2 linked regions of the Notamacropus eugenii genome follow. The protein of the gene in region 1 purifies or fractionates together with the protein of each later gene. This does not show direct contact. Links are inferred from orthologs where the notes say so. Each region holds a gene or a part of one and is shown on either strand. Other genes may lie near its edges.

What was found.
Region 2: the proteins of RNF146 (region 1) and HLTF purify together in Homo sapiens (affinity purification with mass spectrometry; 4 studies listed by BioGRID and IntAct, with this or other methods). This does not show direct contact. The link is inferred for Notamacropus eugenii from reciprocal best matches to the Homo sapiens genes RNF146 and HLTF.

The regions. Positions count from the first base shown.
Region 1 is NC_092873.1:211,138,179-211,153,507, reverse strand, and holds the start of RNF146 (E3 ubiquitin-protein ligase RNF146), read right to left. Parts: upstream 8,408-15,329; 5' UTR 8,130-8,407; intron 7,849-8,129; exon of another isoform or gene 7,720-7,848; intron 7,398-7,719; exon of another isoform or gene 7,272-7,397; intron 7,216-7,271; exon of another isoform or gene 6,807-7,215; intron 6,616-6,806; exon of another isoform or gene 6,525-6,615; intron 6,505-6,524; exon of another isoform or gene 6,141-6,504; intron 4,250-6,140; 5' UTR 4,162-4,249; intron 2,933-4,161; 5' UTR 2,905-2,932; intron 2,550-2,904; exon of another isoform or gene 1-2,549. UniProt on the Homo sapiens protein: E3 ubiquitin-protein ligase that specifically binds poly-ADP-ribosylated (PARsylated) proteins and mediates their ubiquitination and subsequent degradation. May regulate many important biological processes, such as cell survival and DNA damage response.
Region 2 is NC_092877.1:337,866,666-337,881,994, reverse strand, and holds the start of HLTF (helicase-like transcription factor), read left to right. Parts: upstream 1-8,422; 5' UTR 8,423-8,659; coding exon 8,660-8,679; intron 8,680-9,023; coding exon 9,024-9,053; intron 9,054-13,603; coding exon 13,604-13,808; intron 13,809-14,839; coding exon 14,840-15,006; intron 15,007-15,329. UniProt on the Homo sapiens protein: Has both helicase and E3 ubiquitin ligase activities. Possesses intrinsic ATP-dependent nucleosome-remodeling activity; This activity may be required for transcriptional activation or repression of specific target promoters.

The sequences.
Region 1 (15,329 bases):
GATGTAGAATGTGGTATATCCACTATTAAATGCTTTTACTGTGTTTGTTGGTTTTGCTCAAATGTTTGTGTTACAAATTTAATTCAGGGGAGCAGATATGGGACATTCCACAAAATTAAAAGGGAATAATGACTTTAATAATGATATTAAAAAACATTAATGAAACGTAAATTTTTAAAAGTCTCCTGAATGGGATTAGTCCTAAGCAAAACAAACAGTAAGGAGGTATAAAAATATTTTTAGCTCTTTGTGAGGTGCTAAATAATTGGAATCTGAGGGGAATAGTTAAAACAAGTTATATACAGCATATAAATGTGATAGGATACTACTGTGCTTTAAGAAATGAAGGGAATAGTTTCAAAGAAATGTGAAGAGATTTTTAAGCACATATTCAGAATATACAGAATCAAAAGAATAATTTATACAGTGACATCATAAAGACAAACAGCTGCAAAAGACTTAGGAATTCTGATCTGTATAAAGAGCAATAATAATTCTAGACAACTAATAATGCAACATGCTACTGACTTCATGATAGAAGTAAAAACTCAAAAGTACAGAATGAGATATGTATATATGTACACATGCACAAATATAAACATATATTTACATTTATTTTTCTCTTTTAAACATGGCCAATATGAACCACATTTTGCTTAACTATACATGTTTATAGCATGGTTTCAGAATCCTCCCCTGTCCCCTCCTTCTCAATTAGGGAAATGGGCATGGGAAGGGGAAGCTGATTTTGGATGACAAAAAAAAAATGTAATTTTTAAAAGGATCATAAATGTTCCAGACAAGTCTTAGATTGAAATAAAATTAAACTATGCAAGGAACTCAATACATTAAGATACATTATCAAAGATACATTAAAGGAGTGGAGTTTGCAACTTAGTAGAGAATATAAGACAAATATACATCCAAATCTTACATTACTTAGGCTACACAGTACAATGGTAATACAGCAATATCTTACTTAACCAAAGGTTACTTATCTAGAAATTTTCCCACAGAACTTGGAAGCAAAAAACACCTCAAAGAGGCAAACTGGAGATTTCACAATACATACTAAAATCATTCTCTTTACTCACGGTAGAGCCCACACAAACCACTTCTCACTATATGTTCTTATTTTAATGCAAAATTCCTAAGTACAAATTATCTGGTTCCTTAGCTGTCAAGAAGTCAATACCTTAAAAACTGGGAGGTATGACAAGGACAGACAGAGGGATGATGGCAGAGACAAAACCTATTTTTTAAAGGATGAGAATGAAAAGTATGGAACCATTGGAACTATTCACGGACAAGCAACTCTATATATCACACATATCAATAGCCCCTCATGGTCATCACTGAATTACAGAACAGCACAGTATTTCATGTCCATAAAGATGAGTTCACTGTTAAAAGGCTAAATTATGTTTACTATACTAATAAAATGGCTAAGGGTCATTGAGTCACTTAGAGATACATATCAAATACGTAAAATGTTTGAAAACTTATGTTTTCAAAAGCAAAGGGACTCAGTTCTTGCATAATATCAGATCAATAACATAACACTTCAGGTATTACTTTTGTTATTAATAATAACAACCCTATTTCTCTATCCTTAAGAACCTAAGGGCAGAATAGTACCCTTAAAAAAATAAAACATTTTTACTAACTGAAATCATGATTTACACCACCAGGAATTTATATCAGATATAATCTAACATTTTCCTCCAAAATGTGCACAGTTTTATTGATAAATCTTTAGCATTTAATTTTCATCACTATTTTCTGATCATACACAAAAGCAGCAATTTGTGAAGGCTATACAAAAAGACTGATGTTATTTCAAAATCTGCCTTCCTTGTACTTATTTCCAAGCATCTTCTTAATCCAATTACGATATTTCTAATAAACCTTTATTAATTTACTTAACCATTTCAGGAGACAAGCCTTTAAGAACTGAAACCCAGTATCTGGTTGGTGCTTAATGAAATTTTCTAATCTGATGAACCTCTCCCTGGATCAAGTGGCTTTCTTAAATTTCTAAATATTCTTTAGAGGATCCTTTAGGAGGCCTACAAATCTGGGTTCTTAAATTTGGCTCAGAGTATTGAGATCATGGAATATTTCTGAAAAGGTCTTATGAATACTTTGTCTCACATACTAAATTAAAATGGGTAAAAGTCGAGCACAAGAATGAGAATAAAAAAAAAAAACTTTTAACAAATGTAGCTTGCATTAGGTGGTATCCCTTTTTGCTTTCCTCCTTTTAAGATCTATAAAACAAAGAGCAGTAATCTACTCGTATAAATCACCACTGTTTGAGAGACCTCCTGTGAGGCAGAAATAGCAACTTATGTAAGATTTCCAAAGTACTTTTCATGTATTATCACATTTAGTCTTCACATAGATAAGGAAACTGAAGCTGAAATTAAGTGACTTGCCCAATATCACTTTCAGTGGGGAAAATAAAGTAATTGCTAGACTTATCTTAGAACTTCTATCCATCGATTTTCAAGATCTTCATGGTTCTGTTGTTTTCTTCTTTCATAGGGCTAAATCATTTAAGATCATCTTAATTATAACAGTAAGAGGGCTGGGAACATTCTTAAAATTATTTCATATCTAATTCAGTTTTCCAAAGGCACCTGGGGCCATTATAACTTGAGCTTACTTGTTTTTTTCTTCCAAAAAATTTTCAACAATCTGAACATACCTTGTAGAAACCTACAAACTACACCTAAAAGTCAAGGGATAGTGTCAGGAAGACTTAGATTCAATTCCTCTCTGGCCCATACAAGTTGTGTGACCCCAGATAAATCAACTAACTTCTTATTAATTAATTACTCCATGGAATTCCTAAAACTAAGTTACAGAAAAACTATCAATTTGTATCTGTAGTTTTCTCACCTGGACATCCCCATATAGATGAAATCATCTAAAAAAAACAAAGCCATGAATGAATAAAGACCTTGCCCAATCCCTGAAATTAAAACAGCTCACAATCTGTATTATCAAGAATATTTCAATCTTCCCATATAATACCAAATCTTGGGACTTATAGTGGTTCTTCCAACATCCATATCCTTGGATATAATCCAAAGTGCAGGATAAAGATTATCAAAAATCCAATGAAGTAGAACAAATGGATTACCTCTTTAAGTTAAATATAAGATATTTTTTCTTATTTTTTTATGCAATGGTACAAGCAATTTAATACCACAAACTATTCAAAATCAAAAGCTGAAGACAGTTTAAAATATCAACCTTTTTAAAAATGAACTGATTTATAAAATGAACTCAATATGCCAAGATTTAAATGATTTAGGTATGCCTAACTTCAACTTCAAACTAGCCAATTAAATATGTATTGAGGGAACAATGCATATTAAGAGGTCAATGAGATATCTAGTCCAACCATTTTACAGATGAAAAAACTAAAATGTAGAGAAATCAAGCAATTTACTGCAGGTCACAAGTGAGGAATTAGTTGAGCCAAGTATGAAGCCTACATTGTATAGTCACTATCATTAAAAATAACAAAGCCTCACCTTTACTGAATGATGTGAGAGAGGAAAATTAACTTTTACTTTTGATCAAAAGGTGATATATTTGGATTTATCTGTAAGTAAACCTATTAAGAGATCAAACATAGAACTACAGGATGGAAATTAACTTAGCAACCTTAAAAAAAAAAAATCTAAGTACACTGCAAATGATCTTGAAAGGGGAATGTACCTCTGAACTTGGCAAGTCCTCTAATATAAACTCAACCCAAAGCATTTGTGCATTAACGATATTTTACCAAACATGCTCAATTCGGTTTAATTACAAAAGCAGTAATCACAATACTTTGATTTAGGGACTAATTAGAAATTTGTAGGCTATGACCCCCCACTCTTTTCTGTTCTTTCAGTGCCTGCTTGCATTTACATAAAGACAGAATCATTTAGGAAAACTGACAGGACAGAAAACTAAAATTAGATCCCTTTGTTTATTGACATGGAACCTTTACCAAAAACGAAAAAAAAAGGAAAAAAAGACAGTGAATATACAGGACCTCTGCCTTTAATAAAAGAAGCAGTTCACCTAATGGAAAAATCTCACTCTCACACAGACACAGGAAATCATACCTAAGTGAACTACTTAAAATTAATTATTACTTACCTAGCATTATTGACTTTATATCACCAGTTAATTTAAAGATGACAACGTTGTCGTTTCCATCAAAGCTCTAAAAATATTCAGGGTATTTCTGTCAGAAAAATTAAATGCGTTATAAGAGAAATTATTACTTTTTGTCTTTCAAAATTGTACTAATTAATGAAGATATAAAATTACCTCATATTGCAAATGGATATACATTATTTGTTAACCTTTCCCCTCACTTCTCTAATGGAAAAGATATTTTTTCAAATGTCAAATATATTCCATCCCCCCAAAATTTAAATTTTTAAAAACTGAAGCAAATTACGTGAAAAAAAAATTAACCTTTCAACCTCAATTAACCTAGTGAAATTAACACTGATTAAGTTTTTCAAGAGAAAGGTTAGGGAAGCAAAAGCAAAGAGAAAATTGGAGTTAGCTACCAAGTAAACCTGAAATTTCTCTCTCTCTCTCTCTCTCTCTCTCTAGTTCTCCCCTTTTAGATGGAAATGAATGGACTAAAGCTTTCCTTTTTAGCTTCTACTATCATCTTCTACTAATATATTGGTTTACTAACATTTGCTAAAGTACAAATTATACTTTACAGCAAAAGTCTTGATTTAAAACCAGTTTCAATTAACTATATTTCACTTTTTCCCAGCCATAGGCCACAACCTCATTTAACAAACAGAAAAACTTTTCCTTTGTAGTTTGACACTATTTACAACCTTAATCTTTCTAATTAGGGGGACATTAAGGATTTAAATTCTCTCTTTAAAATGTCAATGCTGTATGTATCCTATTTCATAAAATAGTAAGCTCTCTTCGCATTCTGCATCTTACTCAAACAAAAAAAACAATGTGATATGCAAAAATTTTTATAAATATAAAAGGTTCTGCTAAAAACTAGCTGTGTAACCTTGGACAATTGATTAACCTCTTAAGACATGTCACCTGTAAGATAATGAGGAACAACTCTAAATCACTTAATATAAAATGAAGGGTTCAGACTACATGAAATTTGACAAGATAATCTTTAATGCTAAATACTAAGGTTTGAGATATAATATAGAGTCATTGTGATCCTAGGCAACTCATTTAATCTCTAGGGGCCTGTGTTTCCTCTTCTGTAAATGAGGGGGCTGGACTAAATAACCTCTAAAGTCCCTTCTAGATCTAAATCTTTGACCAATGACTCTACAATAAATATGCTAAGTTGGTTAAATCTGTGTCAATGAGCTGGTGTCCGCTCTTAACTCAACCAGCTGTTTTGGAAAAATATGATCAGGAGTCATAAACAGATACAAGGAAAGAGAAAGACAGCTCAGCAAACTCTCTTAACCCTAATGAAACAGAAAAGTAACTCAAACCATAATTCCCTATTGGAAGTAGGTCAGGAATTTCATCTTAGTATATCAAGCAAAGCACAGAAATTATAGTTGTAGAATTTACATTAAATACAAATTTTAAAAAAAAAACCTGTATTCTATTATTTTCCATTATTTCAACAAATTACTTTGAAGTACATAGAAAAAAATTATAACTGATAGTGCTAATGGAAAATATACTTCCCTAGTTGACCCACATAACAGGAAAATATTTCTATCCTCCATTTTACCTCGGTTCAACATTTAGAATATTATTCTTACATGACCACTACAAATCCGTTAAACTGATTAACATTCAACACATATCTTGGAGATAACAAAAGACACAACAAAAAACAGAAAGAGTTTTATAAAATTTAGTTAAGTTCCATGCATTTCTGTCTACAATTTCCCTTTGGTCAATTCCAAATTCTCTAGTAAAAACATGTATTGATTTAGCAACACGAAAACATTTAACATTTGCTTTGGCAAATTAAAGCTCAATTACCATCAAATCAAATTTTTATTTTTAAATGGCTTATTTGACCTATTTTCATCAAGTCCCAGCTATTTTCTGAGTTTTTTTCCTGTACCACTGGGGGAAAAATTGGAAATGTATTTATCTGCTCTTACCAAAACAACAACTCCATTTAAAAGCAATCTTCATAAGCCTGCTAGTTTCAGCGACCATAGAAAGAGCCAACTCCTCACAATTTCAGTGCTCTTATTTTTAAAGTGATGGACATACACAAAAGTAGAAGAAAAATGCCTGGCCCCTGAAATGGCAATTACATATAGGAGACACTATTTCTTTTACTGTTGATTGTGTAGCGTTCCGATTCAGTTCCCTTTCCCTTCAATGTTTTGGATCTTTAGCCAAAGAAGCATGCAGGCACTCCCAAAATAGAAGATTTAAGGGACCACTTTAATAAAAGCCAAAAGAAAAGCACTATCACACAAAGAGTGAATTCGAGATCCCATTTCATTAGTGTGCAGATTTTGTCAGAAAAAACTTACACATCTTCAGATTTTACCCATGAAGACTGTTCCATCTCCCCGCACCCTCAAAAAGTGCCTTTCTCCAGAAGCCTTCAGAGAACAAAATAAGCTACAACAATGGAAGAAAACAACACTCTTTGGTAAGAAACGTGGAGAGAGAGAGACAGACACAGACACAGACAGACAGACAGAACCAAGCACAAGTCTATACCCGGCAAACCAAAGCCCATAACGCAACCCGCTTTGTGTTTCCCAGCACCGTGTGAACTCTGATTTTCGGCAGTTTTCTCAAGGACTGACCAGCTGCTAGCTCCAACTCCCACCAAAACAAAGGTCTGCAAGTCCGCGGGCCAGACGCAACGGGGAGAGGGAAGCGGGCGGGGGGCAGCGTGCCCCGCGGGGTGGATGCCCAGCACTGGGCAGCAGACACGTTAAAGACAGACGGGCAAGGGCGGGGGGGGAGGGAATTAGCACTCCTTTCTCCAAACTAGTAACAAGACCGCGGCCGGAACCAGGTTCGGGGGCCTTGGTCACGACACCGCAGACCCGGAGCAGGGACGAAAACGAGCCTCGAGCTGGAGGGAGGTGGGCTGGCCTCCCGAGAGACCGCACCTAGCCCCAGGCCCGGGGAATCCGCAGCCCAGGATCGGCGGGAGTTAGCGTGCAGCGCCCCCTCCCCAAGAAGCCCTCCCGGGCCGAGGCCGACACCGCCCCGGCGGCACTGCCCCCCGCGGGGCAGCATGGCTGCTGCTCCGCCTCTCGCACCGGGGACAGCCGCGGCCAGCGCTTCCCTCCGTCTCACAGAGGCGGCCGGGGGCGAGACAGAGGCCAAGGCCACGATCGCCGCCGGCTTCTGGCCCTCGGACCCGGCAGAGGCAGGAAAGAAAGGGAGAAAGGAAGAAGCCGGGGGCCGGGCACTGCCCAGCCCCATCCCCGTCCTCCCCGCCGCCGGTCGGCCGGCCAAAGCCAGGAGACGTCGGGCTTACGCACCCGCACCCCTGGCCCCCAGCCGCCCGACCCCCTCCGGTCTCGAGCGCCCGAATCCCGGCACGTCACGGAGGCGAACGGGACAAGGAAGGGTGCGGAAGGGGGGGGGTGGGGGAGAAAGGAAGGAAGAGATGACACTCGGGAGTTCCCTCCCACGCTCCTTCGTGGACCCCTCGCGCCACCGCCCGTCCGCCTCCAGTCACCCCGACTTCTCCCCGGCCCCCACCTTCCGGGCTACCGCCGCGGCCACTTCGCAGGCTTTTCTCTCCGGCCAACAACCCCGCAGCGCGGAGCCCGTGGACGCGCGGAGACGTCACGTGATGGCACGACGCGCCGGCGCGCCCGGGGAGAGGGGGAGGGGGAGGGGAGAGAAGGCGTGTCGGAGGCGGTGCCGCGCGAGGGCGGGGGTGGGGGGGCGGTTGCGCAGTCCCGCGTGCCTCCCGTGCCAGTTGCCCTCCCTCTATCCTTCGGATTCCGCCTCTCTTATTTCCCTGACCCTAAGCCTCCACCGGGCTGGAAGGGACGGAGGACCGGTTGGCCTGTGACTTGGCCTTCGCCGCCGTCCCCGCGTGACTTCCTCTCCGGGTGTCGTGTCCCCAAAACTCGCTCCCACCCCGCCGCCTGAATTTTTCTAACCTCCTGTTTGAATATTTAGTTCCTACGTGCCAGCCAGCCGAGAGGGACGGGGCGGCGTCCAGACGTCCAGCCCCTAGCTAGGCCATCTTGGGTCTCCGGAGGCCCCGGGCTGGCTCGAGGCCTGGAGAACGCGTCCCGGAGCCCTCGGGGCTGGTGCGGGATGCACGGCCGCGCCCGGGACCAGCATAGCCCCGGAGCCCGCGGCCTAAGCGCCGGACCCGGGAAGGGGGCATCGGGTGCCTGGGCCCCTTCGTGACATGGATATGTTTTTCTCAACAGAAAGAATTCTCGTCTGTATCAAAGCTTCTGGCTAAAAGTAGATCAGCCAAATCGCAAAGGGAGTGATTATTCTTTACTACCCACGGCATGCCGTTCTTTTGCGATTATGTGGACATTGAATCTTTTTAACTGAATCTAAACGTTCTCTCCTTGTACTGAAAGAAGGGGGGGGAGGGGAATTGGATTAGAGGAATGGTAGAATGGCAAATCACCAAAAAAACCCAAACACAGCAAACAAAATAGCACTCCTCCAACTACTGCTGTTTTCATTTTAAGGTTCTGTGTATTTTTTGTCCAATGATTCTTCCCCCATTGTGTCATCAATACCGTTATTTTCATCTGCCAAGCCAATTTTTCCCTAAGCTGTGACTGGCTTAGATCCTGCCATTTATGTCAGTACTTGTAAGGTTTGCAGAGCACTTAACATTGTCTCATTTGAGATAGTTAAGTCACTGTATAAGTGCAGCTTGCTGGCTCGTATAAGTGCTTGTGTTAGTGGCTCCATTTTCCAACCCTGAATTCTTTAAATTAGTCTTAGCCAAATTCACGTGATTTCTTATTACAAATAAAAATGAAATGGGACAGATTCTGTGAGATAGTTTTAATTTCCTGTGCCTTAAATGCTAGTTATGTACTCATAAAAGTTTCCCCCACTTTCAGATGGCATTCCTGGTTTTTCTCATTCTACCTTATTAAAAATGTTAGTATATCTAAGCTTTATGGAAAGCAAATAAGTTTCTTTAATCAAAACTTATTTTTTTTCCAGCAGATTTCAGCATTCAGATTCCTTGGTTTAGTAACTTGTGGAAATGTTCTTTTTATTTTTTAAAAAAGATACTCCTGTTGATTTTAATTAACCACATAAAGTCAGATTTACCAGAAAAAAGTTAAGTTGGTTTGAATACACTCATATACAACTTAAGGACAGATGTATTCTCATCCTTAATAAGTGACCGATCATCTAATTCCTGATGTTCAAAAGTAAATTTTATATCAAGGTATTCAGTAACATGATTTAAGGTAATTTAACAAATATTTTGAAACCTTACTTTCATTTGGTTCTCTAAATCATTTCCCAAGGTTGGGTGAATATGTATTGCCTTAGAAATAAAGGAGATCACATAGTTGAGCTCTGAAAACATTTCAGTTTTTCCACTTTTGCATTTGGTTTTCCCCAGATATATTTTCCAAACTTTTATTTTCCTTGACATTTGATTTTTTAAAATTTTGTTTCTAATTGTTATCCAGATATCCTTCATGTGCTTCTTCTAATAATTGTATTCATGATATAACATTGCATTTTAGCTGTTTTTATTTTAACAAAACTCCAATAAGAAATGGTGGTCCGAAATAATGAATTCTGTAGAATAAAGCAATCTGTAGCATAGGGAGAGGTGAGTCCAGAAATTAGGATTGGTCTTTATTTGGCAATTATGTTATTTTGATAAGTGTAAATAGCCAAGGTAGACATTTTAGGCCCCAAATCCACTTGAACACAGCGAGAGAGTGAATAGAAAACTTATTTATGGATATTAAATATAGTTTGCAAGTCAGTTATTTGAACTTTGAATGATTTTCCTATAGTTTATAAAAGGACTGTTTACTGTCCAAGCCAGCCCACAAACTTTTTACTCCTGATGTAGCTGAAATAGCATTAATTGTAGTTTTGAGTTCTGGGTCCCAAGTTCCTTCTGACCCATCAAGAAGCTGGATATTAGCATGCAGGCTGTGGTAGCTATGTGTCTCTTTCTCTCGTGGCAACATAAGAAGCAAAGAAGAAATAGAAGAATGATTCATTTTTTAACTTCATATTTCAATACAAGCTATATCATTATTACTAGAATTGTCTCACTTAATGTTAGAACATGAAGGGACCTTAGTAATCATCCAGTTCTACTCTCATTTTGTACATAAGGAAACAGAGGATAGAAAGGTCAGAGATGTAGACCTGAAAGAGAGGCATCTAGTCCAAATCTCTCATTTTATTGATAAAACAGGTCTAAGGAGATTAAATGACTTGCTTAAGGTCAAACATCAGGTAAACCTCAGAGGTAAGATTTAAACCCAAGTCCTCTATCTCCCGAGCCAGTGGTCTTTTCATTGTACCATGCTACCTCCTTATATATGGCTGGATATAGTCCAATACTTTTTCTAATACCAGCAGAAGAATGAACCAGTTGCTTGGGGTGGAAGGAGGGTGAGAGGGGGTGAAAATGTGTTTAAGCTCTGATTACTGTCTCTGCAAATGATTTAGATCTAAGGATACGCTGCTAGTCTTTCTCCTGAGCTCCAATTCTGTACTACTAATTGCCTATTAGATATTTTCCTTGGATGACCAATATTCACCTGAAACTTAGCATGTCCAAAACAGAACTCATTCTCTTTATCCTCTAACTCACCCCTCTTATGAACGTCATTGTTTCTACTATAGGTACCACCACCCTTCCCCCTCACCCAGGTTAAAAGGTCTTAGACATCAACTCATCACTCTCCTTTATCACCTCCCACATCCTATCAGTTGTCAAGACTTGCTGATTCTACTTTCACAACTTTTCTCAATCCATCCATTCCCTTCTCTCTATTTATATTGCAATCACCTTAGTTCAGGTTGTCATCACCTAGTCTGTACTGTTAAGGTAGCCTATTGAGTAGGAGTAGTATCCACAGTGTGGATCAGGTTAGGATTTTTTCCCCTAAAAGGAAGAGTTATCCTTGAAACTTGATTCAGGGGCCTAACATTCCAATGGTTGATATGAGTTTCTGATCACCTAAAGGCACAAATGAGGCCAACCCATGAGTAGTCAGTGCCCTTCAGACACTGAAGTACCATGAAATTTGCCACATTCAATATGCTTTACTGACCAGAGGTGTTTTCACATGGAAATGAGAATGACCTACATTTACCAGACAGAGATATAGCCTAGCTGAATATCCTTTCCATTCTATAGCTAAACAAACTTCTTTTTGTTAACTGTTAGATATCCCATGGGTATCTCATTTTGTTCCATTTTCAAACTTGAAACACCAAATCAACTCACTAAGACAGACTCAGCCTATGATAGCTTCCTAATTGGATTCCCTGCACCCAGTCTCTACTTTAATCCATCTTCCATACAGCTACCAAAGTGATATTCCTGAATCACTGGACAGATCACGGCACTCCACTCCTCAGAGAGTTTTGCTGGCTTTCTAATTCCTCTAAGATAAAAATAAAAAACTGTTTAACATTGAAAACCTTTTACAACCAATCTTTCTAGGTTCATTAAACTATTACTCCCCTTCTCAAATTCTACATTTTAGCCAAACTGGCCTACCTGACATTCCCCACATCCACCATTCTATTTCCCATCTTTGCAATGCTGTTCCCCATGCAAGGAAAGTATTGCCTTTCTTGTGACAACAAGGAGGTGAAACAATCTGCCTAGATCCCATGGAAGCAGGTCCTACTGGCAACCAAGTGGGCAAAGACTCAAAGTTTACCAGCAGGGACACTCATGTGGACAAAAGCTTACCAGAGGGGGCACTCATGTGGACAGTGGTATAGCCCATCCCTCTTTTATTTTGCTATAATTTAGAACTGATAGAGCCTCTCTACTAGTACAGTACCTGGTGTTTTTATTTTTGTTTGTTTTGTTTTGTTTTTGACAGCTCCTCTGCATAGAGTTTAGAGTTCCAAGGGGTGGCACTGTTTGAAGGTAGCTTGCCTTCTTGTGATGGGGAAAGTGAAAAAGTCTGCCCAGCCCCTCCAAACTGGAGGAAAAGAGGCAGTCTTTTATAAGTGGAATCTAATAGGGCTAAAATCTGGTAGGCACCCACCCACCCTACCCTTAGGTTCCTGGGGAGAAGGAGATAGGAAGACTTTCGCAGTACAGAATGATTCCCACTACCAACCCTAAGAGGCTACACGTAGGAAGGCAATGATGTTTTAGCCACCTTATTACAGATTACCCAACCTGTGATGAGGATCAGTGAGTGACCTCAGTAAGTGTCATCACCTGGGCAGTAGCCTTAATGTGCTTGATGCAGATCCTACTCATAGTAACCTCTTTGTATCCGGAAACCTACTGTGAACTGAAATTATTTGGCATCACCAATGTACCATATCATTTAGGTCCATTATTCTGTTCCCTTGAAAGTGGAAAGTAAGGCCTGGGATTTCTAGTCTTTGTTTTCACCTATTCAGTCATTCGTTCAGGGAGTTATCACAATTTTTTTTTCATGTTTTGTTTTTGTTAGCTTACTGGGTTTATTTTTCCCCACCTTCAGTGCCTTCTAAGTCAGAGTCCTTGCATCCTTGATGTCAAGGTTGTTTAGTAACAGTTCATAAGAGAAGTGATTATTTTTCCATTATTTTAATAACTAATAATTAATTTAGGATTAAAGCTTTTTTTCTTTATGTCCTCATTCAGGGACCAGCCCCTGTAAGGCAGTCAGTCTCTGAAAGACATTGTTGATAGATGACATTGCCCAAATCTTCAGGAACATGGTCCTGGATCTTGGGCAGAACCACACCCAACTACAAGACTTTACTTCTGGTTAAAGTGTAAACAGAATCTAATCTAGAGGAATTCTAGCCCCAAAGCAAGTCCTTGCACCCCTCCAGTGAAGTTGGGGGTAACCCATCTCATGCAGGGGAAAATGAAGCAGTTTGGGTAGAGATGTATTCCTTTGTTCAGATTACTGTCTCATGATCAAGCCAAGTTCTCAGCAGGAAGAGCTGAAGGCTTTCAGCCTGCATCCTCATTTGAAAGCCCACCCCCTCATTACTTGTTCATCAATCAATGTTGAGTTTTTACCTGTCAAGGATACCCCCCTTCTCAAAGATATTTAAGCATTCAGTGATCTCCATGGTTTTGTCTTTGGTTACCAAGAGAAACCACTAGCCATCAATTTATTATCAGCTAGCCTAATTAATACATTGATTATTAATTATCCAGAAACTCTACCTCTCAGCCTTTTCATTCATCTCATCCATAAACCATTTATGGGACAGAAAGTCTGGTAGAAGACTGTTAAGATCTTAGCACCAAAGGATGGGGTCTGATGAGAGCAACATCCTAAGGCCTCACCCCATGCAAGTGAGGCTGGTTTTTCCTTAAAGGTATTGAGACTGTACTTGAGATTTAATTGGTTCAGGACATTAGGGTTCAAGCCATTGGTATAGCTTCCTGGTCACCTGCTTAAAATCAATCACCAACACCACCACCCAAAAAATGAAAGACTGGGGGTCCTCTCTTAGATTCCAAATCTAAGGTACTCTCCTCCAAACTAGACTGGTTATTCTTGGCCGGAAACAGAATGTCCAGGATAGGGTCTTATTCAGATGAGTGTCCTGGTATTTTACATCTGAAACTGTAGTGAAATCAGACACATAGTTTATCTAACAGTTAGCTAACAAAAAAGGTCTACTTAGCCAAAGAGCAGGGGGAAGACTTTCAAAGTCAGTGCCAGTTGTCTTTCCATTCTATAGTTAGAGACCTGAGGGAGTAGCCTCAGCCCAGGAAATCCTGAATGTTTCAGATTAAGGAGATAAGAAAGATATGACAGTGTCCTGAGCCTTAGTCTTCTGATCCAATAAAGTTTCAAAGACTGTGTCAGTGCCTTAAAAACAAAACAAACAAACAACAACAACAAAAAAAAAATTAGTCCAGCTTGAATGATGGAAAGGGAATAGAAAGTGAGGTGAGGGTTAAAGGTCTTAGGATATTGCTCCTACCACATCTTACCCCTTGGTGTTTTAATGGTGTTCTAGTAGACTTCTAATCACTTGAATGACATTAGGGCTATTACAAAAGGAGACTTGTGAGACATCTGCTAACATAGGTGGCACTGAAAGAAAAAACAAAAGCAGATAGACTACAGACACAAAACATGACTTTAAAAAAATGCAACGGTTCTCCGAATAAGTAATTGAATATGGGAGGACAAAGACCTAAAATTCCAGGCCCTATGTCTCCTTTTGGGATCAAATGATTGGTCTAAATGATTTCGTCCTCATGTTGGGTGAGGGTGATGCCATATATTTGCAGTTCACAGTGAATCACCACCAGGTATATCAGGGCTACAGTGCAAATGATGACACTTGCTGTTGTCATCTATCCTCATTACAAGAGTCAGGTAAGCTAAAAAATCCTCTTGCTTTTAGCCTGTCCTAGTGCCAAGGTAACTATCAAGAATCACCTTGCTGTATCATCTGCTTGGCACCCTATCAGCTAAGAACTCACCCTGTCTGAAATCTCATGGAGGATACCAGAGTTTTGTTTCATTATGGGGCTTTTCTTTACTGTCTCTCTAATGTGAGGGGCTGAGAAGGCTGCTTTACTTCCCTCCTGCCACCAGAAAGCACGTCACTTCCCAAAACAGCCACTCCTTGGTCTTCCAAGCTCTCTAGGGAAGAAATTGTCCAATGACTACTGAATGTGTATTAGTAGCAAAGTGCAGAGGCCAATCATTCTAGATTACAGTAAACAAAAGGATACAACGTACCCTCCTTTGTCACTGTCTGTGCTATAACCCACCGTACTAGATCTGTGTCTCTAACCATACCCCTTACACTGTGTCTCAAGCCACCACTCACTGCTATTGCCACTGAGGCCTACATAGTGCCTGGCATATAGAAGGTGCTTAATAAATGTTTCATGTTATTGTTGACTGTGCCAACAAAGCTGTGTTGTGTTGTATCCCTCCTGTGTCTGGACCTGAGTGTTATTTCAGGTAATTGTCACTGCCCCATCTTGTGTTGAGTATTGCCAATACAGGGGTCTCCCTCTGTCCCTCTGTGCTGGGCTCCTTATTATTTCCTCCCCCATGCCCATCCCAGCTTTCACTCCACTTCTTATCATGTAGGGGTCTGGACTTACTTGCTCCCCTTAGTATGATGGGTGGAGTATTGCTATGGACCTAGCTGCTGCCCTATGGATA
Region 2 (15,329 bases), on another chromosome or scaffold:
CCCTTCTTTCATCTCTTTGAGAAGGTAAGTAATGTGATATAGGTTATTCATGTGTAGTGATGATATATACTTTTAAAAATCAAGCACGTGATATACAGATTCAGAATTTCATATGTAATCTCATTGTTTTCTATTTTATGTATATAGAGATTTGTGTTTTTTTATGTTTTCACTTTGATAATAAAATTAGTTAAAATTTTAAAAGGCTCAATAAAAATTTATTTTTAAAAAGAGTCTTCTTGGCCTTTCAGAATTGTGATTAAGTATGTTATAAGTCAGTGCAACAGGAAGCAGCTATCAAGTTATAGATTTGGAGGTGAGGAGGACCTTAAAGGTCTTCCAGCCCAACTCCTTCACTTTCCAAATTAGTAAACTGAAGATCAGAGGTAAAGCAATTTTTCCAACCTCACAAAAGTAGTAAATGAAAGGGCCAGGATTGGAATCCCAGTCCCCTGACTCCACATGGGTCAGACTGCCTCTGAAACTTGTCAAGCACTCTGAGCTTCGTCTTTAGCTTCTTCCCCTAAAAGCAGTGAATGGAATTTTTAAAAATTCTTGTTTTTTAAAAAATTACTTTTCTATATATTTGAATGAATCAAGTCCCAAACACATGAAAAAAAGTGATCTATTTTTAATGGTGTAAGTTAGATTTGTTCACAGTGTATTTTAATAAATCCTTCCTGTTATACAAAAAAAAATTTTGCTTTAAGAATAAAAGTATTTTTTTTAATCATTAGTTTCTGGGCCAGACATCTAAACATTGAGAAAGAAGAGATCTCTGATGAGAATGTTGCTGCATTAAATTCTTCAAAGGCATCTTTGTCATGTAGTGATCATATGACAACTTCAAATGTCCCATGCCAGCCTAGTGGGCAGGGTGAATCTGAAACCCTGTTAGTGCCAAAACTTTATAGCAGAAACCTCAGCATCATAGAAAGGGGGTGGAGACTTTGCACGTGTCCTGGAGACACCACCCAGTCTTTGGGTTGGTTCTGTTTGCAAACATCTGGAGTACCCAGCACAGTCAGTTACTCTATACACGTAACAAGTACTAAATAAATCACTCTTTAATGAATGAATGGTGAGGATGGAGATGCAAATCGGGAAGTCATCTCCATTTAGGACCAGAGATTGGGAACACTGAAAAATCTCCTTTCCTTCCCCGTTTTGGCTCTTCAGGACATCATCAGCTAGGGGCTTTATGGGTTCAATGATTTAGAGCAGGAAGGAACTTTAGACACCATCCACCCAACACCCTCATTTTACAGATGAGGAAGTGGGAGCCCTGAAAAAGGAAGTGACTTATCAAAAATAGCAAAGGATTAAGTAGCAGAACGAGGATTTGAACCCAGGTTCTCTGTTCCAAATCCAGGACTCTTTCCACAGTGTTACCCTCCTCCCCTGATCTCTTCTCATACTCCACTACAGCAGTTAGGTGGTGCAATGGATAGAGCACCAGTGCAGGAGTCAGGAGGACCTCAGTTCAAATCTCACCTCAGACACTTGTAACTCACTAGCTGTGTGACCTTGGGCAAGTCACTTAACCCCAATTGCCTTATCCTGGGTCATCTTCAGTCATCCTGATGAATATTTGGTCACTGGATTCAGATGGCTCTGGAGGAGAGGTGAGGCTGGTGACCTGCACAGCCCCCCCTCACTCAAAACAAAGTCAAGTGCAAGTTATATCATTATTTCTCTGATGGCATGGTCTTCTTTGGCAACGAAGCATGAACACACATACCCCACTGATGAGAGGCATATCCCAATTTGGGCAACCCTTTTCTTCTTACATCTCTGCCAAGAAATCATTAGATCTCCACCTGAAGACTTAGGATGAGTCCCCCTCCAGAAATCCCAAATTAGACCAGAACCTAGGGTTTAGGTATTAAGCTCTGAAGTCTATTTCTGAGTTACTCATAAATCACACTAGTTTTCTGTTCTTCAGCAGGTTTGATGCCAGTGCTGTCAAGGCAATCAACTGGATGCCAGGATTGCAAAATACACCTCCAACTCTACCCATGAGTCAAATTTCTTCTCCATTGTATATGCAGTCTTAGCTGCTCTTTGTGAGGATGAGGTAAAACTAAGGGGGCTGACTATAGAGGGAATATTTTCAACTTAATTGAAAAAAAGTTTTGTGAGGGCAATTCAGACCTATGATGTCATCAGTGTAAAGAACCTTCTTTGTGGATGTGTGATACTTCCCAGCCTCCCTTCACCAATGCAAACCAGCAACTCTGGTCATCCACTGTTTTAATGACTGGATGAATGAAAGCCTTGAAAATAGAGTAAAAAGGAAAGAAAATCCTAGTCCTCATGGAGTTTATATCCTAATAGAGCTTTCTAATGTAAGTCAAGTGGAAAAGCCTAGGGGTCTTTAGGGTGCTGGGGCAAAGCAGATGACTTCTTCTCAAAGGTCATTGCCATTGATAAAACTATGTCTTCTTCTGATAGGGTCAAGGTCTTTGATGTGTTGCTGGAGGCAAACAGAGGTTAATTGCCACGATCTTTGTCAAGTTGCTGTTCAGTAGTTTTCAGTTGTGTCCAACACTTGGTGACCCCATTTGGGTTGCTTGTGTGTGGGATGGCTCAGGTCCCTACATAAATCAATTACTCAGAGGCCTCTCAAAGTGATGACAGAAAAGAGATTTATTCGATTCTCGAGAATCTGGACAATCCTACACCAGTTCACCTGGAGTAGGAAAAGCCGAAGACAAAGAAAAGACAGTGATTTATATAGACTCTAACGCAAGTCCCTCCCCCCGCCCACTGACCATTATTCTCATTAGCTGAAAATATGATCTTACATTCTAGACATGAAATCTAACCAATCCCTTTGGAAATGAAGACATTGAAGAATTAGGTAAACTTTATCCAATCATTGAGACCCTAATGTACTACACAGTTTTATATCCTTATATGGAATTATTCTGTTCTAAAAATATAGTAACCTTGAGCCTCTCAGTCTTACCTCACCCCTGGAAGAAGAATTACAATCTGAGAAGTCTTCACTAAACCTATCCCACTCACTTGGAATGATTTGCCATTTCCTTCTTCAGCTCATTTTACAGAAGAGGAAACTGAGGCAAACAGGGTTAAATGACTTGCCCAGAATCACACTGTTAGTAAGTGTCTGAGGCTGAATTTGAACTCATAAAGATGAGTGTTCCTGATTCCAAGCCCAGCACTCTTGGTCATATAGCTAGTCTATTAAGGGTAACACTTAAAACCAGATCTTCTCGTACCCAGAACTGACCCTCTATTCACCATTCATCTTTCAATTTGAAGAATGTAAACATTAGCATATTAATAAAGACTATGGTCACACATTAACACAAGTAATATCCAATGATACATTTTTCAGAGATGCTTATAATTTAATGGTAAGTTCCTTAAAGTCAGGGAATATCTTGCTTGTCTTTGTGTATCTGCAAGGTCCAGTGATGTTTCTGGCACATAGTAAACACTTATGTTTATTAAATGTTTTTGATTAATGAATTTCCTGATAGGACTCCATTGACCTCTGGTAAATTTCTATGCCCCGCACATGGTCAAAACAGGAAACTGAATTGTTTCATGATAACACTGAAAGGCAGTGTTGGTATCTCTGGGTTTTTCAGACCTCCCCCCCCATTTATTTTGGTGAGTGGAAGCAAGAAATAATAGCAGTAACAACAATAAAAGGAGAAATAATGACAATGTGGAAAATGGGAGGAAAAGAATGTTTTCACAGGGTGAGTTACAAAGTTCTGAAACAAACAACGCCATGCAGTGTCTCTAAATATAAAATGAGGAGTCTATCGGAGCCTCCTGTACACTAATCAAATTGTAAAGCCTTATCCTTACATCAAAAACAAAACATTTTCCCAAGTACAAGGTGATGCTGGGGGAGGGAGTGGGGCAGAATAGACAACTGTTTATCTGAAAAAGTGAAACTTAAGTTCAATATGAATTAGTAACATAGATTTTTTTTTTTTGTGGTTCAGTCTTTCTTCAGTTGTCTGACTCTCTCTGACTCCATTTGGGGTTTTCTTGGCAAAGATACTGGAGTGTTTCACCATTTCCTTCTCTAGCTCATTTTGCAGATGAGGAAACTGAGGTAAACTGGATTAAGTGACTTGCCCAGGGGAACCCAGGTAGTAAATGTCTGAGGTAAGATTTGAACTCAGGTCTTTCTGACTCCAGGTCTGGTGCTTTATTCATGGTGCCACCTACCTGCCCAAATAGTGAAATAGTGCCATGTGGTAAATAGACCTTAGACTTCATGGATAGGCATAGGGTCCAGAAGTAAGGAAGGGAAAGCCCTGCTGCATTCTGTCCTGATCAGAATTCAGCTGGAATATTGTGTTCATTTCTGGATGCCACATTTTAGAAAGAACTTTGAGAAGCTGGAGACCATCTAAAGCACAGGTTCTTAATGCTTTTTATGTGTCCAGGATCCCTTTGGCAGTCAAGCAAAATACATGGAACATAAAGACCCCTTCTCAGAATCATGTTTTTTTAAATGGGCAAGATAAATTCATAGGATTACAAAGGAAACCAGTTATAAACCTGGAATCAGGAAGACCTAAGTTCAAATGTCACCTTAGATGCTTCCTAGCTGTGTGATCCTCAGCAAATCATTTAACCTCTGTTTGTTTCAGTTTCCTCATCTGTAAAATAGGGATAATAATACCACCTACTTCACAGGGCTGCTGTTTGGACCAAATGAGGTAACAGTGCTTGGCACATATTAAGGATTCTGTAAATGTTAGCTATCATCCTCATCACCATCATCACCATACATAGAAAGATGTAGGGGTGTTTAGCCTTATTGAAGAGAAGAGTTGGAGCAGAAATGATCATTTTAAAAAACTCTGTGAGGATTTTCATGTGTTAGAGGAATTAAGACCTTTTTCTTCATGACCCCAGTGGGTAGAGCTCTATGTCATTGGTTGAAGCTACAGAGGCAAAAAACAGCCTTAAAACCTTCCCTAATAGTGAGAACTATTTAAAAGTATCCTGAATTGTGGGTGTCACTCTCCCCATCACCCCAACCCAGAAGTCTTCAAGCAAAGGCTGGATGACCACTTCTTGGGCACGTTGGGGCAGTTGGGTGGTGCAGTAGATAGAAGCCTGGACCTGAAGTGTGGGAGATGAGTTAATGTCCAGCCTCAGACACTTACTACTTGTATGACTCTGGCTAAGTCATTTAGCCTCTGTTTGCCTTAGTTTCCTCATCTGTAAAATGAGAATAATAGCAGCACTTACCTCACAGGGTTGTCATGAGGGTCAAGTGAGATAATGTTTGTAAAGTGCTTTGAAAACCTAAGAGTCTACACTGTTCACACAAAGACTAGCAGATATTATATTGTAGAGAGTATTCTCATTCATGCACAGGTTAGACTAGGCAGGGCTTCCTAGACTTTTTCCACTTCTGACCCCATCTTGTGTTTCACCAGCATTCGATGGCGTTCGTGGTCTAAGGGCACTCAAAGTGCAAAGTGCACATGCTCTGTGTGTGTGTGTGTGTGTGTGTGTGTGTGTGTGTGTGTGTGTGTGTGTGTGTATTCAAAACCAAGGCTGCAGTGAAGCTGCAGATATAAGTGCTACCAGGAAACACCTTGGATCCATTGCATGTTTGATTTTAAATTAATTTTTGGTTGGTGCACTTTCAGAAATCTTTTACTGTTGCTAGATTTTTCATGCTCTCATAAGGGATCACGACCCACAGTTTGAAATGCTAGACTAGATGACATCTGATATGACCCTATCAATTTTAATCAATTAATAAATATTTATCATTTTATTATGTATGATTCCAGGATTCTGTATGTAATGATTGTTATTCTTATTTTTGAAAGGAAAATTTTTACTCCAATATAAGGATAATCAGGAACTGGAGAAAATTGGAAGTAGGTGTTTCAGAGCAGTTTCAGATCTGTTTCATGGGAACTCCTGCCAGGGCGTTAGAATGAGGGTGGGTGTTGGGTAATGGAATCAAACAAAAACTAACAATTTTTGAGAAAGAAGCATGGTCTTGGTCCTATGGTAGAGTTGTGAAAGGTTACTGAGTCTCATCCTGGGGCCTCCAAGGGATTTTTTTTGGGAGCAGGGTTTTTGGAACAAATCTGGAAATACAAAATGTGTAAATGATTTCCATTGATAAGGAAATTCTATGGGAATCCACCCAAATAGAAGGCAATCTGGGAATGGGAAAGGGGACTCTGGAAAATGGTAACCAGGCTTAGGGCAAAAATAGCAATTCCAAATTCCTGCCTTAGACTTCAGACACAGTTACTGATTATGATGATAATATGCCAACATTCTTTTAGTGATACGAGGGTGACTCCTCTGTGAAAATTAATTTATATGTATACAAATTCACTGTACAGTTTACATAGTTATAATTTATATGTGTATGTTAAATATTAACATATTGCATATCACATAAAATTTATATTAATAAATTACATATTATATACTTATATATGTATATATAAGTATGTGACATGACATCATTATATAAGTATATAAATTATATATTCAATCAAATAAAATTATGATAAATTAAATCATATAATTGACACATATACATACATATATATGTGTACATACATACCTATATACTGTAATACATATATAACATTTGGAGAATATGGGAAATGTTACAATATGTATATGTGTATGACATATGTATATGTATATATACAGACATGTATATTGAGAACTTGAGGACTATATCTTAACAGTTACATGGATGAGAGATAGGTATCTGTCCATTCTGTATAGGTAAATAATGTTGGTGAAAAATGAAGATTCTCTTCATTTCTTGATCCACTCATATATATATATATACACATATGTATGTATATATACACATGTATGTATATATACACATACACGCACATATATGTATATGTACACACTCACATATACACACATATGAAGGAGTACCTTGGTACAGGTGAATTTTAAGAAGAATAGCGTTAAATCAGGAGAGGGAAACATTGATGATGCCTGGTTTGAGGGGAGAATAATCTGCTTTTCCTACCACATGCCACACAAAGGCACTTAGCCCGGGCTCACTTGCTGGAGAGCCCTGATGACGACATCTGGCTAGGGAAACTGACACGATAAAGTCTGGATCCTCTGAGCTCGTGCCGCGGGCCGTCAGTTCAATCGGACCCCATTCAGAGTCTGGATCGAAACCATCTCTGTGCCCATCAAACACTTTATCTCCAGAGCTTGGTCAAACGGACTTCCAAAACATGGTCAAAAGGCAGACAGATTACAAACAGACTGGGGGGGAGGGGAGAAATGGGGAGAGCCTTTGGGACCCAAAATTTTGTGAAAATGAATGTTAAAAGTTAAATAAATTAATTAAAAAAATTACAAACAGACTGGGGGGAGCCTTAGGGTCATAGGGAAACTCAAGGCACGGTTGCCCGTAGTGTTTCTTGTAAAACTGGCTTCTGAACCCGGTGTTCATCTGGTCCCAGAGGAGTTACATCTGGCTTCAGTCCCAAGCTTTACTTCTTGGGCTGTCTTCACCCCAAAATAAAACGGGGAAGCCCCTCCAAGCGGATTCAGGAGCCGCGTCGAGAGCGGGCTGTGAAGACCGAGCACCGCGTTCCAAGGCGGTTCCGGGGTGATTGTTACCCAGAGCGCCCAGGTTCCCTGCTGTGCAGGGATGCCCCGGGGCACTGAGGCAGGTGCCAGCCGGGCGTGGGAACCCCCTCCCGCAAGTGCGCGGCTGGAGAAAAATGCCCCCGGGGGCACGGTCGTGCCTCCGGCAATGCACGCTCTTGGCAACTTTGTGTTTTTCAGTTTATTTTTTCCCTAAAGAATTCTTTTTTAGAAACAAATCACAAGGTCAAAGAACGAACCGGCCCGTCCAAGTTCTGATTAAGTGTCCAAGAGGGGCAGAAGGAGACCTAGTTTCCAGGGCTACTCCCGAAGGCGCAGCCCCGGAAACCTCGGGGTCCCGGGCCACGGGGCAGGAGCGTGCGGGGGGCAGCGGTCCCCAGGCGACCCCGGGGTTTCGCGAGAGCTCAGACTGCGGGAAGCCGACGGGGGCGGGAGGTTCCCTGCTGGGAAGGCAGCTGAGCCCAGGTGCGGGGCGGGGAGCGAGGAGCCCTCCCCCGGCTCGGCCCTCCCCGCCGGCCCCCGGGCGGGAGGGACTGCGCCGCGCGCCAACCCAGGGGGCGGGGAAAAGCCCGGATGAAACCAGCCGCGCGGGGCCCGGCCCACTCATCGCTTTGAATTCCAGCGCGGGGGCGGGCGCCGCCCTCCTCTTCCGCGCGCTGATTGGTCGAGGCCGGGGCGAGCCTGCCCTCGATTGGGGCGTGCCGCTGTCCGTCTCCTCAGATCGCGGGGCTGGGTTTGTTGCGGGAAGGAGACGGCGGCGTCGTTCGACGACGACGGGCGGAGGAAGGGACGCGACGTCGCCGCCGCCGCCGAGGCAGGAGCTGAGGCAGAGGTGGGGTGAGGGGAGGTGCGGAGCGCAGAGGCGGCCAGAGCTTCGGCTTCGCATCCCTCTCGCGGCGCGCTCGCTGCTTTCTCCTCGCTTTTCCCCAGCGGCGCGGCCCGGACCCGAGCGGCGGAGGCGGCGAGGCGAGGCGGGCCCGGGGGGCCTGAGAGCGGCGGGGTCCCGGACCCCGCCTTCGTGCCCAGCGCCATGTCCTGGATGTTCAGGAGGTGAACGGGCTGTGGGGGGGGGGCGGGTAACGGTTGTCCCCCGATCCCCAAATCGGCCCCCTCCGGGAAGTCCCCGCCGTGCGCGCGCCGGGTGGGAGGGGCCCCATCCCCGCCCCGACCCTCAGCGAGGGGTCCCCGTGTCCGAGACCTTGGCCCGGGCCGCTGGGGGAGGGGAAGGGGCGAGGGAGGAGGAGGGCACCGGGCATCGCCGCCCCTCACCTGTCCCGCTGCGGGAGTCCCGCTTAAAGGGGTCCGAAAACCCCCAAACACGCACAGCCCCGACCTGGAAAGAGACCGTGCGGTGCGGCGAGCTTGACCGGAGCGCTCTGTTTACCTCCCTTTAGGACGGACGCGCCCCAGGTGTTCTTTAAAGTGTGAGTTCCCCTTACTGCGTTTTAAACTTGCGGCCCCGGAGCCCACGCGCGGAGCTCCCGGGGGCCCGACCCCGCGCGCCGCTGCGGGGCCCCGGGCTTTTGTCTGGATGGTTCGGAAAGGAAACGCCGCTCGGGATGCGGGGCCGGTGGTTTTCCTCGGACGTAGACTCTCAAGTTTTCCCCGGGCGGGGGCTCCCCGTCTGCGTGCCCGAGCTGCCCCACAGTGTTCGGGCACTTGGGGTGCCCTGAAGCGTGAAGTGGGGGGGAGGGGGCGTTTGTATGTTGGAGAGGCAATTTGGGGTTCTGGTGAGGAGTCTGAATCTTACCCGTCCTCGGACCCTTCATGGTGCTTGTGTACTGTATATGTATACGTATGTAACATGTAGCGTGTGTGTAGTGTGTACATACATGTGTGGTATGGTGTGTGTGTATAGTGGGTAGTGTGTATGTAGTCTAGAATGTGTGTATATACGTATGTAGTACGGTGTGTGTATGTGTAGTAGGTAGTGTGTGTATAAATAGTACATGGCATGTATATGTGGTATGTGGTGTATGTATAGTATGTAGTGTGTGTATATACGTATGTAGTACGGTGTGTGTATGTGTAGTATGTAGTGTGTATAGTGGGTAGTGTGTATGTAGTCTAGAATGTGTGTATATACGTATGTAGTACGGTGTGTGTATGTGTAGTAGGTAGTGTGTGTATAAATAGTACATGGCATGTATATGTGGTATGTGGTGTATGTATAGTATGTAGTGTGTGTATATACGTATGTAGTACGGTGTGTGTATGTGTAGTAGGTAGTGTGTATAGTGGGTAGTGTGTACATAGTGTGTGTATATACATATGTAGTACGGTGTGTGTATGTATAGTAGGTAGTGTGTGTATAAATAGTACCTGGCATGTATATGTACTATGTGGTGTATGTAGTATATAGTGTGTGTATGTATAGTATGTAGTGTGTGTATAAATAGTATATGGTGTGTGTATAAATAGTACATAGCATGTATATATAGCATATGGTGGGTGTACAGTATATAGTGTGTGTACATATATATATGTTTACACACTATGGGTACGTACACATAAATGTATAACAAGATTGTGGCCCCCCTGGAACTAATGAACCCTTTAGCAGTGGAGATAAACACATTTAAAATGCAGATTCACTGTACAAACACTATTGGCTTTTCGGCCTGGAATGGAGGCCTTAGGGAAGGTTCTAGCAAGGTGCTCTGGGACTAACAAGAGATCTTTTCCTGGGGCTTGGATCTAGGTGTCTTCATGGTGGGGTGGGAGGGGTTGTCAGTCAAGAAACATTTGGTGCCTACTCTGCCAGGCAGAGACAGAAAGAGGTGGCACTTGAGTTGGGCTTTGAAAGCTGGGAGAGATGTTCTAGGATGTAGGGAATTGTGAGAGAGAAGTTTGAAAGAGTTGGTGGAGTCCCTACTGGGCAGGAATAGGGAATCTGGACTTTATTTTATAGGAAAGAGGAGGAGTATGAATGCTAGACTAAGGAATTTGAACTTCATTCAGTAAAAAGGAGAAGCTATTGAAAGTTTTTGAAATAATGTACACAAACCACTTAGCAAACCTGAAAGCACTATAGAAAGTGCTTTTAACTATTATTTTCTGAGTACAGTATGTATGATAAAACAGACTTGTACTTTAGGAAGATAAATTTTGCTTTGAGTCTGGGTGGATTGTAGAGAGAAGAGACTGTGAAAGGTGCTGGGAACTTGAACTAGAATGGTCACAGTGGAAATGGAAAAGAGGGGATGCATTTTATTGATTTATTGTAAAAACTTGTTGCCTGGATATATGTGAGTTGAAGCAGAGAGAGGCAAAAGGTGACTGAGCAGCCTGACCAAATAGTGATGATGCCATTATCATGGAGGAATTGAGGAATTCTGAGCTGCTAGGAGAGAGGAAAGTTACTAGACTAATTTGGCCAGAGTAAGGTAGAAATGCTGGCGTTGCATCCGTCCAAATGCAGGTGTCAGGCAGGAGTGGGAAATGTGGAACAGGATCTGGGGAGAGGTTGGAAGCCATTGGCACAGAGTAGCAATTGAAGCACTGAAAGGAAGGTGGAAAGAGAGCTAAAGAAAAAATATTAGGATTTTGCTGCTTCCATATCCGTCAGTGGAAATTTTGCATAGTTTTTGTACTGATTTTTGAAATAGCATAACATATTAAAGTAAGTTTTACAAAGATTGGTGTTTCCAGACAGATTTTGAAGAATAGTTTGGATAAGTGGTTCTATGTGCAAAAAACTGAAAGAACCTCCACATTATTCTTTCATTTTTAGTATCTGTTGATTAAGAGAATACATGATAAACTATTGTGATTTAAATGTTTTTAAGTGAAATCCTGATTTATTATAGTACTGTAGCATTATGAGGCATAAGTGACAGAGTGGATAGACACCTAGACCTGGAGTCAGGAAGACCTGAGTTCAAATTCAGTCTCAGACATTTACCGTCCTGCGTGACCCTGGGCAAGTCATTTAACCCCTGTTTGCTTCCATTTCCTCATCTGTAAAATGGGGATAATAGTAGTACCTACCTCCCAGGATGGTTGTTGTAAGGATCAAATGAGATGATTTTAAGGGGCTTAGCGTGGTGCAGAGTAGGTACTATATAAATTTTAACTATTATTAGAATTCAGTCTGTAGGTTTGTTTAACTTCTACTGAATCATTAAACAGAACTGGTTAGTCTTGAATCGTTGACCAAAAACTGTATCCTCAAAATCCAAATCCAGCACCAGCATTGTATAAGGAATTGGGGGGAGGGGGGGCGGTTTGTGTGTGTGTGTGTGTGTGTGTGTGTGTGTAGAATATAAACAGCAATTTTTTTAATGGCAAGAGTTTGCTAGAATCTTAGCACAAATCCATTGCAGGTGTGCTTGAACTTTTCTGTGGACCTAATTGTTAGTTTGATAAAGCCTTTTGACCCCTTTTCAAAATAATGTTTTTAAATACATGGGATTACAATGAAAACAATTACATTGAAATACAGTTAGCAAAGTTTTCAAATTAACAGATCCAGGTTAAGTACTTGTAATTAAGTACTTAAGTACTTTTTAAATACATGGGATTACAAATGAAAACAATTACATTGAAATACAGTTAGCAAAGTTTTCAAATTAACAGATCCAGGTTAAGTACTCTTTCATGACTTAGTCATTAATGATGTTTATGTTTTCTGATTTATATATTTAAATGTACTGATTGATATGTTTGGAGGGAAGACTGGTAGCAAGCATATGCTACGTAAATACAGTAAAACGCTTAGGAAATGACTCTTAATTGTAAATCACTTTTGGAGAGGAGAATGGCTATTTGATAAAATTTCGTGCCATGTGAACATCAATTTGATATTTCTAAAATTGCTGTTACCTATTGAAATAATCATACTCTCATATAGTAGAGGTAAGCTATTTTATAATGGCATTATTTTTAATCCCCTCATTAAGATTTTGACATACAGGTAAAGTTACAATATAAAGCATATATTTTGAATTAAAAGAAAGTTTTTTGTAAATAGGTTGTCAGCCACATGGAAAGGAACATGTGAAGTCATTTATTCTGCAGGACTTTACATTTCATAGTTGGGGTGACAGATGTATTATAAAGATAATCTGTGGTCATGGGGAAAGAATTTGGGTAGGTCATGTTTCAGGAATAGGGGAAACGAGAGGAACTATACCATGGGACCCTAAAATGAAGGTCAAGAGGTATTGGACTTGGGTGGGAGGAGCCATTGGTCCAGTTATTTTGGACCAAGTTTAGAGATGGTGACTTTTAAGGGATTGTTGATTGGAATATTTGGTGTGTACGTACTTGATGTGAGCCAGAAGAGGGTGGTATATAAAAAAGATTCACTGAAACCAAATGGGCAAAATTCTCAAAAATCTGTTCACAAGGATATAGAAATAGTACTTTATAAAACAGTACACTATTAAAGTTATATTCCTTAAAATTGGATTTTACCTGAGTGTTTAGAAGAAAATAATTGGAACCTGTTTTAGGTATTCAGAATACGTTACATTAAAATTGCAGGATATATAAAATCTATAAATACTTTACTTAATTCCAGGAAGAAGAGATACTAAATTTTCTGAACTAATGGTTCCTAAAAGTAGTTCAGTCAAGGGACAATGAGAGGTCCTAGATGGACCATGTCACTTAAAAGGGGAAAGAGGGAGAAACCTTGGAGCAGGAAAGGACCTTATTGATCCCAGTTCCTTTGATGCCAAATTTGGTTTGTTTGTTTTTTTTCCTTTTTCTCCAGTTTTACCATGCTGCCTGTCAACCCCTCATTTTATAGATTGAGGACAAAAGTGATGGGACTTGGTCAAGGTCATTCAGTTAATGGTAGAACCAAAGACAAGTATTATGACTCCCAGATCACTACCATACAACCTTCCTTATATATCATCTTTACAATATTGAGTAACAATTTGCTTATATTTAATAAAAAAAGACAACTTCATGCAAAGTAAGACTTGACTTCCCGTCCTCCCCCCACCCCCCTTGTTTTAAATAGGGATCCTCTTTGGAAATATTTGCAGTCATTCCAATATGGAGTCCATGGAAGTTTTTCACACTGCACCTATTCCAATTTATTTTCTCCTTTTGAGCCTGAAGAGGTCCCTCCAGAGGACTTGATAGCTAGTGATGAAGATCTAGATTCAGTTTTATTTGGAACTTTGCGAGGCCATGTGGTTGGATTACGATATTACACAGGAGTGGTAAGTAGAGTATGATGGTTCACTTGGTTTAGTAGTCTGGATATTAATTCTACAGTTGAAATATTCTCAAAGGAAATAATGTTTAGCAAATGCAATTTTCTGTGGTAGGGTTTACCTTAAATTAATTACAAGGTAGTTAATGGTTTGGTAAGAAGGAGAAAATGATGTTTTCAAAAAATGCTTATTACATGCTAAATAGTCAGTAGTATCTTAAAAGATCTATCATAATATTTTTGTATTGTATCCTTTACTTTTTTGATATCTCTTCCCTTCTTTTTCTGCCCCATTAAAAGTGTTTCTAGCTCTGCTTTTGTGGTCTTTTCACTATCTTTCTGTGCCCTGTGCCTCTTTAATCCATGCATTTTCTCTGAATCTTTGCTTTTGGACCTTATCTACCTCTACAAGAGGTACTGGTTTCCTCTGTTCCATATATGAGTTTCTGTCTTTTGTTACTGGTGTACCATATGTAACGTGTTTCTTTAAGCTCTTGCTTCTCCTCAATCATGTAGTCTAATTTTGGCACTCAATAAGCTACCAACAAAGTAGACAGTTTTTGTTTTTTAACTGAAGTATTGTATGTTTTTATAATGGCCACTTTGCAAAAAAGAAAGCAGAAAAGGCAGCACTGATGAACTAATAAAGATGAAATGAGCATTTGAAAAAATTCCAACAGCTATATCTATTGTGACAGAATTTTAAAGTGTTTGATGGTTAGTCTTAGCAAAATAGGATATTTTGGGAATTTCAAAACAAACTCTTAACTACAAAATTAAGATACAGTTTTGGTAAATGAACAAATTGGGAGGGGTGAGGATTATCTGGTTAGGACTAGCTCTTTCAGCTATGAAAAAGGACAGTACCAGAAAATAGAGTTTACCACATTATGTGAGAAGGGAGAGAGAGAGAATATCCTTCTACAGCCTTAGTCAGAAATCCCGGAAAAAGTGTTCTGGGTACTACACTGTAAGCTTTGAGTAGTACAGTTTAAAGGAAGGTACTATAAACTAAACTTATGTTTGATATTTTATTAGGTTAATAATAATGAAATGGTGGCACTTCAGAGAGAACCTAATAATCCATATGACAAGAATGCAGTGAAAGTGAATAATGTCAATGGAAATCAGGTGGGTCACATAAAGAAAGAGCTTGCAGCCCCTTTGGCCTACATCATGGACAACAAACTGGCCCAAGTTGAAGGGTAGGTGTTTGGTTTGGAGAATTTTACAAATACCTTAGGCTAGTTCTGGAGTTGTTTGTATTTTTCTGATTGGTAATCAGTTATCTTTTCTTAAGTCTATAAAGCACCAACCACCTTTAATCATAGCTAGTGTTGTGGTTGAAGATCAACCATGAAAATGTCTTGAGAAGTTTCAGCAAGTGGAATGTTCATGAACAGATCAAACAGCTGAACATTAGTCTCTTCACACACCATCTCCATGCCTTTTTATCTTCTTGTAATTTGTAGGTGTTTTCATAGGTAATGGCGAGTTAGGTGACTTTTTTTAGGTGTTTGGGTTAGTA